Linked DNA regions of Oryzias latipes. The protein of the gene in region 1 purifies or fractionates together with the protein of each later gene. This does not show direct contact. Links are inferred from orthologs where the notes say so. Each region holds a gene or a part of one and is shown on either strand. Other genes may lie near its edges. The genes, in order: sost and lrp5.

The links.
Region 2: the proteins of sost (region 1) and lrp5 purify together in Homo sapiens (affinity purification with mass spectrometry; 3 studies listed by BioGRID and IntAct, counting the BioPlex papers as one, with this or other methods). This does not show direct contact. The link is inferred for Oryzias latipes from reciprocal best matches to the Homo sapiens genes SOST and LRP5.

Annotation. Positions count from the first base shown.
Region 1 is NC_019877.2:17,915,376-17,919,291, forward strand, and holds the start of sost (sclerostin), read left to right. Parts: upstream 1-1,500; 5' UTR 1,501-1,830; coding exon 1,831-2,080; intron 2,081-3,916. UniProt on the Homo sapiens protein: Negative regulator of bone growth that acts through inhibition of Wnt signaling and bone formation.
Region 2 is NC_019864.2:5,022,683-5,026,598, reverse strand, and holds the start of lrp5 (low-density lipoprotein receptor-related protein 5), read left to right. Parts: upstream 1-1,716; 5' UTR 1,717-1,907; coding exon 1,908-1,968; intron 1,969-3,916. UniProt on the Homo sapiens protein: Acts as a coreceptor with members of the frizzled family of seven-transmembrane spanning receptors to transduce signal by Wnt proteins.

The DNA.
Region 1 (3,916 bases):
GGTTTTGATATAATAGGCCCAATTCGTATATTTGGTTTACTCTTACTTAATTATAGACCTATTAACTCTTAAACACTCTGTAAATGACACACTGAAACCATTAAATATTGTGTTTTTCAAAAGAGGTATCATTTATTGCTTGAAAGAGAGTGAAAGGAAGTAAATTATACAACCCCACTCTGATTATGTTTAACCTAACTTTTTCTTTTTTCTTTTTTACACAAGTTATCTTTATCCAGTTCTGAATTTCTGATATACCAAATTGCAGATCATTAAAAAAACCTTGAGCAATAATAAAATCAAATTACAAAATGATGTACATAATATTGATGTAAGAAGACATTACAGTATTTTAGAAATCACTAGGAGAAATAAGATCAATGTTGGAGAGCAAAGTATTTTTGAATATATACAGTTTTATGGGTCTTTAAAAAAACATTTTTTATTTTAGATTCTTATCGCTGAATGTGGCCTTAACAGTATCCAGGCTTCAGCGACCCTAAAAGGGGTTCAGCGGGTTAAAAAGATGGATGGGTCAGTGGATGTTTGTTCTTCTGGACAAAACGAAATAAGAACAACATCAACATGGGATTCTAACCATAAAAAAGGTTGGTGTTAACCAGATTTCCAGTGTATTACAGAGATTTTTCCGCTCACTTTTTGTTTTTGAACAGAGTATGATTCACTAACATATTAGCATTGTTTGTTTGATAAAATCAGGGAGGATTTTCCATAAACTCTGGCTTTCAAACTGAAGCCTAATTACTTTTCCTGTACTTCATGAACAGGAATTGGACCTGACACTTATGGAGTGGTTCCGAAGAGGGGGATTTCCTGTTGATTGATCCTAATCATTCATTACTAACATTACAAGCTGATTTTTGGCTCATCCTTTTGAGACAGAATTTAATCCATGACATGAATAAACTCAAACTTCCCTTTTTAAAAGTCAGAACTTTAGAACCTTATGATTGATCAAGTTTTGTCCTGGACTGCCTTGCAAAACAGCAGAGTGATGCTAACGAGCCTGAATGTCCTTCCCAAGGCTCTCCCTCAAGAGGGCAGTGTTTGAATGAGATAGCCTCCATCTGTCAGCAGGCATCACATCACAGGGGCGTGAGGGCTGCCAAGCAGCTTTAATTCACAAATTCCAAACAGATATGGAGATATAGAATATCAGATTCTCGTGAAAAGCCTCTGCTAAACTCAGATTTGGTAAACAGACACTTGGTGATGTATTTTCTATTCATGCAGACAGTCCTGATGATGCTGAGAGTCGCTGATGAAGGGTCATTCACACGTCATGAATAATTCATTTGAGTGTGGTCCTTTCCTCAAACATACAGGATCTGATTCCTACACCCCCTTTTCCCTCCCTAGGAAAGATGCCTTCAGAAAGTCGTCATAGTATAGTTGCTGCACCCCCCCCCCCCAACACTTATGTGCGCACTAATTGCGTCACTTGGATTAAGTCAGCTCTCCTCTCTGTCACTCCACCACAACTCTCGTTTCCACTCCTCTCACCTCCTCTTTTCATCTTCTCTGACCTTCATGGTCTCATTCCTTCACTCTTTTTCATGTCTACCTTCCTCTCTCCCCCCATTCACAATGAATCCCTCATCCAGGTTCGACTCCTCCCACTCCGTGTCAGCGCGTAATTGTGCGCTCTGACCGCAAAGTTGGCTTTAAATAGCGCGTCTCGCTTTGGAGAAGGACTCCTCCGTTCCTGCGCGTTCCTGTATTTTTGCTTTTATTTATTTACATTTTTCCCGTCTGCATTTTCTGTAAAAATTTACTCCTGTGTTGAGGTCCATCTGTGCCCCGACAAGCATGCAGGTGTTCGCGGCGCTGCTGCTCTGCAGCTCGGCGCTGCTGCTGCTGCAGGGATGCTGCGCAGCCGCCAAGGGATGGCGGGGAATCAGGAATGATGCTACCGAGCTTTTACCGGACTATGGGCAAAACACGGGCGCGCCGCACGAGGCCATTCTGCACGCAGCCAACAAGAACAACAACAACAGTAACAACACTTTGAATAACAGGGCGAAAAACGGTGGAAGGACTGCAAACACAGTTTCATATAGTAAGTGTCCTTTTAATATTTAAATATTACATCAATTACCTATTTGGGCAAACTTTGTAGAAAAATGTGGTGAAGATAAGCACATGGGTGATTACTAATCCAATCCGCAATTCTAAACAAATATTTTTCCTCTTAAAAGACAGATTTTTAACAAAACACTTTAAAAAACTACTTAAAGAAATTCAACTTTTTTAGTCTATCAAATCTCTAAATAACTGAATAAATATTTTTAAATTGATTGCCAGGATTAGACTCAAGGCTGTCCAGCAGACTGGCTTTTTGTCATTTCCAAATTCAACCTGCTTCCCTTTCAGTATAGGAGCTGATGTGTGTGAGAGTGTGTATTGTTAAATACACTGATGGGGGGGGGGGGGGGGGGGATGATCAGATGCACATTCTTGTGGTTCCTTCCCCAATTCTGTACCCCCCCCCCCCCCCCCCTTCCCAGGTTGTTTCCTTCTGTCTTTATACTATTAGTCAAGCCCTACTTACGCCATAACCATTTGATTGCAACAACATGTTTCCCAAAGCCCTGCAGTTTGCTGTCTTTTTTTTCGGGGGGGGGGGGGGGGGGGGGGTTGTCTTTAGGAGGGTTTTTTAAATAGCTTTTAAAGTACAATCATTTGAGAAGGATTCCCACCTTTGGACAGTATTCCCAGCATGTTATGATTGAGAAGGCCGGATAATGTGATTTAAGATGGGGGGGTGGGGTCATTTTTCCCCCCCTAACAAATAGTATGATTGATTATATTAACAGGAAAACTGATTTCACTAAAGTGAGAGCAATTCTTGAATTTCAAGATGAAAAGATGAGTTGATTTCAACAGGTTGTTGTTTAGGAATATGCAGCACATGTTGGGCTTGGTGGAGAAAAAGCTCTCAGATTATTTCCATCGTGTGGCTTTTGGTCGGGACAGCTCCTCCCTGATCTTTGTGGGGTCACAGCACAGGCTTTGAGACCACAGCCTGGCTTCACTCCAATCCTCTCCCTAGGCTCATCTTTCACTGCCGAGGGGGGTGGGAGAACAAAAATCCACTCACGCAACCGTACATCAGGCCGCCTTTGTTTGAGAGGAGAATAGCAACCGTGCGGTTGGAGAAAGGCGGTGATGTGACAAAACCACCTGACAGGTATTTGTTGCAAAGTGCTGCCAAGGGATCTTTTTTGAAACTGCTCTGGTCCTTGCAGCAGTCGATGGAGAAAAACACCAGATCATATTCTACTGGTTAGAAAAAACCCAACAAAAAACAGGAAAGTCACCTCACATCCATCCTTTGTTCGGGTCTTTATTTTTGGCAAGGAAGGCCACAAAGGAAAACAGATCCCTTTCTGAGTGTGTCATTTCTTAACCAACAATTCCTCCTTTTTATTTTGTGCACACAGCCTGTAAAGAAACACTAGGCAGTGATTCCTGCCTGTTGAAAATGCAGGATTACAAGCTGAGTGTCTCCAATCTGCCGGGCTGATGTCCAAGTTGTGCTGCTCTAAAACAACCAGACTGTCATTTAGTCCTCCGTCACCGCAAACACTTCCTGAGGTCCGGTGCAGGATGCCAGCTTTTTCATCCAAGCCAAACCTCAGTTTGCTTTGATTGGTGTGTTTAATGGCCTTCTGGTCTGGATTTGTTATTTGCTTATTGCTGCCAGTTGCCCTTCTTTATCAAGTAAAAATGATTTGAGTCAAATAGACCTGATTTTGTTTGTTTATTTGTCGATATTTCAGGTCTGGATTTCAGTTGAATGTGTTGGATTTTTTTTTTTTTTTCAGTTGATAGAAATAGAACCGGACAAATGACTGGAAGGAGACCCAGCTGCTGTAAAGAAGCAGTTGACCCA
Region 2 (3,916 bases), on another chromosome or scaffold:
CGTTTACAGTGGACACAAGACCATGTGACCTGGACAATGCAGCAGTGGTCGACCATCCTGTTCACTGATGAGTGTCAGGTCACCGTGCACACAACTGATGGTTGTCAGTGTTGGTGCAGACTCCGCCTCAGTCACAATCATCTGTTTATGTATACGTCACACACAACCACGTGATGAAGACTCTGACGTCCATTGAAACATGTCAGGCATGTTAAAACACAACCGTGTCTGATAACAGAAGAACCAAGAAGTAGGTTGGTCGTCTGTGTTGCTGGAGAAGACGAGGTGAGCGATACGCCGAGGTCATCATGGTCCCCATGGTTGGCTTTGGAGGAGGACGAGCAACAGTCTGGACAGACATCACCAGTATTTGGGCCTATCTTTATAATTGCCTTAGTTTTGTGGTAATAAATATGAAATCAATTAAAATGATAGTTTTTCTCATTCATTATTAGTAGTATCAAATGGAAATTTGAAGTATTTCATTAAAATTCAGACCAAATAGAAAAAGCACTCGTGTTAAAAACAAAAGTCCCAACTTGTTATCAGTGTATTTCACATGTGAGAGATAAAACATGCCTCAATGACTCAGAGGAAGGCGCTCCAGAGTTTCACTGAAACAGCCATGTTATGTTTTTTCCTTCACTTCCTGTCCTGTCTCTTTTTTTTACCTCAGTTCTTCCTGTTTTACCCTTCTGAACAGATTTAGTTCTACTTCCACTATTACAGGCTCTGCTTTTCCCTGTGTGTTTCTTCTCCAATTCAAATAGCTGTCTTCCTGCTGCACTCCCAGATTGTCTGACTGCATTACATCAACTCTTCAGCTCTGAATATTTCTACCTGATGTCATGATGCTGAATCTGATTTGACTCTTGGTTTCTCCCTGTCTGCTTCTGGACCTGGAGACTAAATTTCTGTCCACAGGAGCTGCCTCTGCTGCTGCCTCTGGATACTGCTTTCTGGACCTTGGGACTTGCCTATTTTGATAACTGGACATGATTTTTCTTTAACTGTGCGTGCACCAGACACCCCTCCTTGCTACACTATCCCCACCTTCCCTCTTTGGATCCTGCAGATTTCTCCCCCCAATCTCCTCCTTAGTGTAAACTCATCTTTTAGTGTGCACAACCTGTCTGCCACCAACCTGATTCTCCTGTCTTCCACATTGTAGACCATTCATGCCACTTGGAGCCTGTCAACACTTCCTGCACCAGTTATTTCTCTATTCTAGAGTAGATTCCGACTTAATTTCATTCAGAGTGCTGTGTTTTTTTTTTGTTTTTTTACAAAACTGCAGTACTCTCCATCCTTGTGTATGGTTCATGAAATGGCCTCTAAAAAGAATTTGGCAGCATTGTATTCATGATTCTTTTGATTTTATGTTTTAATTTTTTAATTACCGATACGAAGCCCATGATCGAGACGACTGTTGTTCTGAATTTGGGCCATATAAATAAATTGAATTGAATTGCAAAATGAGTCAATGCTTTTATTTTGAAGGGATGACGTCTTAATTTTGATTTTCTTTAAATCCTTTTTAAATCTATGGTTTTCTGGTCAGTGTACTCTGAAACCGAACGATGTTTCTGAGACTGAAGACGTTCAGAGGTTACAGAGCAGCTCCGCGAGGACAAACCGAACCAGATCTTCATGAAGTTCCCCTCGAACTTTGTCCCCACCTCTCCCTGAGACGTCGAGGCTCCGCCCACACCCAACTGCCCTTTCTCTCCGTGCGCGAGCCCGACAGTCCAAAGTGGAAAGTAGCGCGAGCGTAAAACGAAGACGAAGAAAAGTCCCTTTACAGCCCCGGTCACGCGCGCGCACATGTACGCGCTCAGCGGCGGGTCAGAGAAGACTCCCGGGATCGAACATCCGAACATGGAGCGGGAGTCCCGGCTGTGACGGGGATGGGAGGTCTGCTGGCGCCGCGGCTGCTGCTCTGGAGCTGCCTGCTGTCCGCGGGCTCGGGTACGTCGTCGGTCGACGCGTGAACGCGCGGCTCTCCGGTGAAAGTTTCGTGTCTCGGCTGTCGGAGCGCGGCTCCAAACTTTTGGGGGGTGTTCGCCACGGGGCGGGTCGTGCGTGAGATTCGGGCCAGACGATGATCACAAAGACCTGCGGGATTTGAAGGCAGCTGGCTGTTTCTGGGCCTTCATCCCGTCCTGCGCGGTGTCGGGTGTCACGCACGCAGGCTCTGCGCCGTAGAGCTGAACAGAGGGCAGTGTTTGGGTTCTGCCCCCCCCCCCCCCCCCCCCCAGGATGTGGGTCCACAGACCCCCCCCCCCCCCCCCCCCCGTGTCCCGGTGGTGATGGTTCTGACTGCTTCCAGAGCTCCCCTCATTGTCCCCCCCCCCCCCCCCCCCCGCTGCTCTGAAGGCGCCCTCTGACCCCGTGCGTTAGCGTGTGTTAGCGTGTCAGCGCGTGGTTCCACAGGTCCGTGGTGTCTACAGTCTCATCCTCGGGGCTGAGGCTTCTGGTTGTCCTCCTGAAACAGCAGAACTCCTCCTGAGGAACCCTCAGCTCCTGGTTCCTCTTCACTGTTGTGTTCCTGTTGTGCGTTTGCTCAGCCTGTCAGTTGTGTCTTCAGCCTGTCAGCTGCTTCATGGATGATCCACAGACTCAAACAAAGGGGGGCAGCCGAGGAGGACCGCTGTGCCTCAGAAGCCTCTGGCTTAGACGGGTCGGCGGTCTTTGTTCTGGGTGGCGGTGCTCAGAGCGGCAGTGTGATGGAGCAGCAGGTGGATGTTTCTGTGGAAACCTCCGTGTTTCCTCCACGGGCGGACGCCGCCTCGTCCTGTGCCGGGCGGGGATGGGCAGAACCCTGGAAGAGGGCGGCTGGCTTCGTCATTTCTGCTGCTCTGCAGGCTCGGCTTTGTTCATGAGGTGGTGGAGCGGCGGTGAAGCCGGGCTGCAGCTGGATGCTGCCTCTCCACCTCCATAGATGAAGACGGGCGTTTTCTGATCCTCTTCTCGCTGTTTCTGACATTTTTACTAAAATCTGCAGAACCGACGTTACTCAGCGAAGCCGCAGGAAAGCTTCAGGAAAAAGTCCCAAACCATTAGTTTCTGCATAATGTGGTCATCACACATTATGCAGTTATTACCTAAAGGTAATAACTCAAACAATTGAGTACAAGTATGATTATACTTCTGCCTTATTTGTAAAGCATTTATTGTCTTTTTGCAGTGAAAGTACGTCGTATTAGTCATTGAAATGTTTTTTCCCACAGTTCCTCAGGGGACACAGAGGTGTGTGCTGCATCCCTGCTGCATCCCAGAATGCTCACGTTCAAAAGGTCAAACAATAGAGCTGAGTTCAAGATGCATCTATTATGGATAGTTTTAGTGCATTACACCAGGCTTTTCTTCATTGTTTTTCATTAGCAAATGAGTCATTTTCTGAATTTCTGTTTTTGTCTGTGTTCCCTGGTATATGGGGGGGGGGGGGTCCGTGGCAGAGGTCTCCCTCTTGTTTGTACATGAAGGCTCCCTGTTGGTCTGTGTGGAAGCATTCAGTGGGTCAGATGTGCTCACGCTGCACAGCAGAGTTCAGTCCAGTGTTCATGGAGTAACACGCCACTCCAGACGTCGTGGTGCATGACGCCCGTCTGACCACACAAGTCTGTTCTGTGTTTCCCTTCATGTTGTTTAGGGCTGACTCTGCTGCAGGTAGCAGCTCCCTCAGACCCCACAGTGGCGCATCACGCTGCAGCAGGGCTTACCGCCACCATGTCAGCTCAAGTTTGAATGTTCACATCCTATCTGAAGGCCATCATGATTCTATTTTATCTACGTTGTGCGTCTGCAGGACTCCTGCTTCTTCCTTAAGTTAGCTAAACTAGATAGAATGGAGGAGGAGCTTCTGTCATCTGGCTCCTCCCTGATGGAACCAACTCTGCTATGGTTCAGGAGGCAG